Linked DNA regions of Sus scrofa. The protein of the gene in region 1 purifies or fractionates together with the protein of each later gene. This does not show direct contact. Links are inferred from orthologs where the notes say so. Each region holds a gene or a part of one and is shown on either strand. Other genes may lie near its edges.

Region 1 (3,000 bases):
CCTACACCTAGTCCCATCCCACAGAACTAGGGCCTGGATCATTCCCATAGCAACAGCTTGAAGGGATATGGTGTGTGTATACAAACTTTAGCACCACCTCCTTTCCCTCTTTTTGTCACTTACATGCTAACCTTTCCTGGACTTAATGAGCCAATGCAATTTTGCATTAATTTATAAAATAAAGATATTAAATGCATTTATCTTATTGTCTAAAAATATCACTGAGTTACTCTTGGGACAGAGGACATTATAAAGAGCAAAATGCTCATTGGAAAATAAAGCACTAGCTAGATACCAGGAAGATTTGACCCTACGTGACAAGTTTTTAACTCTGCAAATACTTGGAGTCATTAATTATATATACTTGTTTTATTCATAATTTATGTCTGGGGATACCAAAAGTAATTCTAATGATGGTTGAATTTAACAAAAAATTTTAACCTCATCTTAAAATATCCACTTATCCATCTCATTCAATGGCAATATTAAATGTTAAAAGGAACATAAAAACAAACATGCACACCAACTGCACAGTTTTCATAAAGGTCTATTTCATTATTGGTGGGCAGCGCATTTAACAGTTAAATACATTTAAATAATGTATAGGTGACTGCACGACTGCAGCATTGATAACTAGATAGATAACCAATTCAACTAGAAACCAGCTAACAAGTAACTGTCTAAATATTTAAAATACAGCTCTTGTTTAGATCATCCTTTGTTTTGATCACCTTTTTGGGGGGGTGGGGGTGGGGAAGCCTGCTGGTCACACTGGAAATATATTAAGGCCAAATCTGATATCCATTCCCAGAGGTTTCTTTCAGCTGGATTAAGCCTCCAACTCCAGGGCAAGCCCAAGTTTGTGGCCTCCAGCATTAATGCTCTTCCCATCTACCAGAGCAGACAGTGTCAGCTTCACACCTGTAAACAAAAGCAGACAACCATCATGTGCCTGAAACCTCACGAGTCTGCAATCTTCTTTTTAAATAATCATGTCACAGCCTGCCTGTCACTTCTCAGCCTGTCAGATGACCTACTAGTGCCAGCCACCAGAGGGCACTCGGGAGTATCTGAGATACAAGAGGGAATTCAGTTGGCACCATCCTAAGAAAAGCCATCAAGTGACAGCATTAAAATGTTAATAATAAAGCTCAGACAGCTTTAGAAAAGACAATAATGTTCAATACATTATCCAGACTAAAGGACAATCATAACTGGATCCTGAAAAGGAAAAACTACAATAAAGAGACATTTTGAGGACAAGCGGGGAAATCCAAATACAGACTATATATTAGGTGTTATTTTAAATTATTAATTTCCTTAGCTATAAAAACAGCCCTGTAGTAATAATGTAGTTTAAAACATCTTCCTCCCCGGACTAAGGCTGATGTGTCCATGTGCTGCAGAACATATTTAAATAATTCATAAGGATATATGTAGAGGGAAAAGAAAAAGACTACATATACATAGAGACATAAACATAGTAAATGTTAGTAACTGGGAAGGTATATGGGTGTTCGTGGTACCACTCTTTTCTTTAGGTTTCAAAATAGTCAAAAAGTCTGGGGAAAAAGTTCTAAGTGCTTTAGAATCTGGCTATTCAAATGGTTCAAGCACCAGCCATACTGGCATCACCTAAGAGCTTATTAGAAAGACAGAACCCTCCTGGAATTCTCTTGTGGCACCGTGGGTGGTGTGGTGCAGGTTCAATCCCTGACCTGTGAACTTCCATTTGTCATTGAGTGGAGCCAAAAAAAAAAAGACAGAACCCCTCACCATATACCTATGTGATTAGAGTAAGATTCCCAAGGTGATTCATGCACACACTGATATCTGAAAAGTACTGCCCTAGAAAACAGCAAGGCTCAAAATACTATGTAAAGGAGTTCCTGTTGTGGCACAAAGGAGATGAATTCGACTAGTAACCAACCATGAGGTTGTGGATTCGATCCCTGGCTTTGCTCAGTGAGTTAACGTTCTGGCATTACTGTGAGCAGTGGTGTAGGTCACAGACTCGGCTCAGATCCTGCATTGCTGTGGCTGTGGTGTAGACCGGCAGCTGTAGCTCTGATGTCTCAACCCCTAGCCTGGGAACCTCCATATGCCTCAGGTATGACCCTAAAAAGAAAAAAAAACTATGTAAAGTAAATGAGACTACAAAGACCAAAAAACCAAAGCAATGACTGATCTATGACTGGAGAAATAAAAATTACAAGGAAAGTTAAGTAGAGAATGGATATCAAGTTAATATGGAATCAATGTTACCTTTATCAGGGTGCTAACAGTACTGTGGTTATACAGGACAATGTTCTTAATTCTGAGACAAAGCATGTTCAAGATTAGGGAAATGGCATGGTAGCTGCAACTTCCAAACAGCCCATATAAAAAAAGGGAAAGGAACAAGAGTTCCCATTGTGGCTCAGCAATAACAAACCTGACTAGTATACATGAGGATCTGGGTTCAATTCCTGGCCCCACTCACTGGGTTAAGAAGCCCGAGTTGCTGTGGTTGTGGCGTAGGGTGGCAGCTGTAGCTCTGATTCGACCCCTAGCCTGGAACTTCTATATGCTGCAGGCATGGCCCTAAAAAGCACAAAGAAAAAGAAAGACAGAAAAAGAAAAAAGAAGAAAGGAATACAAATTTATGGCAAAAAAGGTAAACATGTGTTGTTCACTGTACCCTTCTGTCAATTTTTCTGCATCCTTGAAAGGTTTGCAAAAGAAGCTAAAAAATGAAAACTAATTTTGAAAACACTATCAGAAAAATATTTTATCAAGAATACTTACCAGGCCTCAGGGTCTGAGTGTAGCCCACTCCAATTAAACTAGAGTTGTTGACTTTTGCCTAAAATAAAATGAAAAAGCAAATGTTAAGAAAAATTTTTGAATGGCAGGGCAAAAGCCCCTACATGTTTCCCTATCATGCAATTATGAGGCATTCATTTTTTTCACATGTGAGGTAATAAAAAATTAACACTGTACTAAACCAAGCAAAAACCA
Region 2 (3,668 bases), on another chromosome or scaffold:
CCTTGAGTTGTGGCATAGGCCAGCAGCTGTAGCTCTGATTTGACCCCTAGCATGGGAACCTCCATATGCCACAGGTGTGGCCCTAAAAGACAAAGACAAAAAACAAAACAAAACAAAACAAAAAACTCAACAACAAAAAATATTTAGGGATAAACCTGACCAAGGAGGTGAAAGAATTATATACTGAGAACTATAAAACATTAACAAAAGAAACTGAAGATAATTCAAAGAAATGGAAAGATATCTCATGCTATATTGGTAAAATGGCCATACAACTCACAGGAAACTACAGATTTAATATGATCCACATCAAATTACCCATGACATTTTTCAAAGAACCTAGAACAAAGAAACCTAAAATTTTTATGGACCCACAAAAGATCCAGAATTGCCAAAGCAATCCTGAAGAAAAAGAACAAAGTTGGAGGTATATCCTTCCCAGACCTAAGACAATACTACAAAGCTACAGTAATCAAAATCAAATGATACTGGCACAAAAAGACATTTGGATCAATGGAACTGGGCAGAGAGCCCAGAAATAAACCCACACACTATGTTCAATTAATCTCCAACAAAAGAGGTAAGAATATACAATGGGGAAAAGACAGTCTCCTCAGCAAGTAATCTTGGACAGCCCCATATGTACCAATGAAGTCAGAACACACCCTCACATCACATAAAAAAATAAACTTGAAATGGCTTAAGCACTTAAATATAAGATATGACACCATAAAACTCCTAGCAGAGAATGTAGGCAAAATATTCTTATATAAACTGTACGTACCAATGTATTTTTAGGTCAGTCTCCCAAGGCCAAAGAAAGAAAAGCAAATATAAACAAATGGGACCTAATCAAACTTATAAATTCTTGCACAGCAAAGGAAATCATAAACAAAACAACGAAACAATGTAAGGACTGGGAGAAAATATTTGCAAATGATGTAACTGACAATGTCTTAATTTCCAAAATATACAAAAAGCTCATATAACTCAGTAAAAAAAAAAAAATAAACAGCCCATTCAAAAAACGGGCAAAGACCTAAATAGACATTTCTCCAATGAAAACAAGCAGATAGCCAACAGAAACATGAAAACATGCTCAACATTGCTAATTATTAGAGAAATCCAATTCAAAACTATAATAAGGTACCATCTCTGACTGGACAGAATGGCCATCATTTAAACATCTATAAATAACTAATGCTGGAGAGGGTGTGGAGAAAAGGGAACAGTCCTACACTACTGGTGGGAATGTAAATTGGTTAAGCTACTATGGAAAACAGAATGGAGGTTCCTTAAGAAACTAAATGAAAGTTACCATATGATCCAGCAATCCCACTCCTGGGCATCTAACCGGAAAAGACAAAAACTCTAATTTGAAAGGACACATGCACCCCAATGTTCACAGCTGTACTATTTACAATAGCCAAAACATGGAATCAACCTAAATGTCCACCGACAGATGAATGGATAAAGAAAATGTGCTATATAAACATAATGGAATACCATTCAGCCTTAAAAAAGAATGAAGTAATGTCATTTTTAGCAACATGGATGGACCTAGAGCTTATCACACTAAGCAAAGTCAGGCAGATGACGACAAATATCATATGATATCACTTACATGTGGAATCTAAAGAAATGATACAAAATGAACTTATTTACAAAACAGAAACAGACTCACAGACACAGAAAACAAACTTTGGTTACCAAAGGGGAAATGCAAAGGGGGGAGGGATAAATTAGGAGTTTGGCATTAACAGATACAAACTACTATATATAAAATAGATAAACAACAAGGACCTGCAGCACAGGAACTATAATCGATCTCGTGTAATAACCTCTAATAGAAAAGAATCTGAAAAAGAATACATATATATACACACATACATACACATATATAATACCTGAATCACTTTGCTGTATATCTAAAATTAACACATTGTAAATCAGCTATACTTCTTGAATTAAAAAAATAAAATTAAATTAAAAAAAAAATTCAGTTACAGGGGAGTTTCTGCTGTGATGCAGTGGGTTTATGATCCGGCTTGTCTCTGTGGAGGCATCAGTTCAATACCTGGCCCAGTATCGTAGGTTAAGGATCTGGTGTTACTGCATAGGTCATAGCTCCAGCTTGGACTTGATTCTTGGCCCAGGGATTTCCATATGCTGCAGGAGTGGCCAAAAAAGAAAAGAAAAAGAAAAAGCAGTTATGGAAGTTCCCACCATGGTACAGTGGGTTAAGAATCTGACTGCAGCAGCTTAGGTCACTTAGTAGATGCAGGTTCAATCCCCAGTCTGGCACAGTAGGTTAAAGGATCCAGTGTTGCTGCAGGTGTGGTATAGGCTTGGATTCAATCCCTGGCCCAGGAACTTGCATATACCATGGATGCAGCCATAAAATAAAAAAAAAATTTTTTTTAAAAAGGCAATTACAGGAATTCCCTTATGGTACAGTGGGTTAGGGATCCAGTTGTATCATTCCATGAGCTTGAGTTGCTGCTATGGTATGGATTCAATCCCTGGCCTGGAGCAGCTGAGAAAAAAAAATTACAAAAATAAATGTATAACAAATGTAAAAAAAATAACATGTTGCTGTGGCTCCGGCATAATTGGGCAGCAACAGCTCTGATTCCACCCCTAGCCTGGGAGCCTCCATACACTTCAGGTGCAGTTCTAAAAGAATAAAAGACAAAAAAAAAATTAAAACAACAACAACAGTGAACATCACTGTTTAGTCACATTCTGTGGCTGAAAGAGGAAATCAATCAACTTACTTCAGAGTATCTGACAGCTCTTCACCAGGTACTACATAAGATGTTAATGATAAGACAAACACTTTCCAGTACTGTTTTTATTCCAGGTATTGCCAAAGAGGTAAGTAACATTTAGAGAAACGAAACCTGTTTGAAAGTTCCATTGTAAAGTTTTAAATGATCAGCCCCAGAGGAACTGCTTTTCCTTTAAATCAGATCATTGAAAAATAAAAGCTGCTTACAACTCTAAATACGGCACTCACGATATAGTCTCTGGGATTTCATCTTCCTTTTTGAAGCGACCTGACCATATCAGGATCTTCTTCTCCCAGTCTGTAGGCTTATGCAATGGCACTCTGTGGCTATAAGTGTCTATGAGAAAAACAAGAGAAGATATCTTACTTATATAAGACTGACTCAAATTTAGCAAAAGAAATAGGCTATTTGTGCTTTTTAGCCATTCACTAAACAGAATTAGAGCTTTATTTGAGTGGAATTTCTTAGGTTGCTCATTTCTCAAATGAGATTCGAAAATTGTGTAGGAGTTCCTTTTATGGCTCAGCAGGTTACGACCTGATTAGTATCCATGAGGATGCAAGTGTGACCCCTGGCCTTGCTCAGTGGGTGAAGGATCTGGCACTGCCATGATCTGTGGTGTAGGTCACCGACGTAGCTCAGCGGACACCATGTTGCTGTGGTTGTGGCACAGGCTGTCAGCTGCACCTCCAATTTGACCCCTAGCCTGGGAATTTCATACACTACAGGTGCAGCCCTAAAAAAAAAATTCTGTGAGGACTGTAAAATAAGAGCGTTACTTCCCCAATATAAGCCTTAGCCACTGAAAGCGGAAAGAATGTCATGAACAGATATAAAGGCCAGAAGGATGAACTGAGAAGGGAACAGTGAGAAGCT

Evidence for each region. The genes of interacting proteins can lie anywhere in the genome.
Region 2: the proteins of VDAC2 (region 1) and FAM162A fractionate together in Homo sapiens (co-fractionation; 3 studies listed by BioGRID and IntAct, with this or other methods). This does not show direct contact. The link is inferred for Sus scrofa from reciprocal best matches to the Homo sapiens genes VDAC2 and FAM162A.

Annotation. Positions count from the first base shown.
Region 1 is NC_010456.5:77,779,855-77,782,854, reverse strand, and holds the end of VDAC2 (voltage-dependent anion-selective channel protein 2), read right to left. Parts: intron 2,846-3,000; coding exon 2,788-2,845; intron 922-2,787; coding exon 830-921; 3' UTR 528-829; downstream 1-527. UniProt on the Homo sapiens protein: Non-selective voltage-gated ion channel that mediates the transport of anions and cations through the mitochondrion outer membrane and plasma membrane.
Region 2 is NC_010455.5:138,124,186-138,127,853, forward strand, and holds part of FAM162A (protein FAM162A), read right to left. Parts: intron 3,129-3,668; coding exon 3,020-3,128; intron 1-3,019. UniProt on the Homo sapiens protein: Proposed to be involved in regulation of apoptosis; the exact mechanism may differ between cell types/tissues.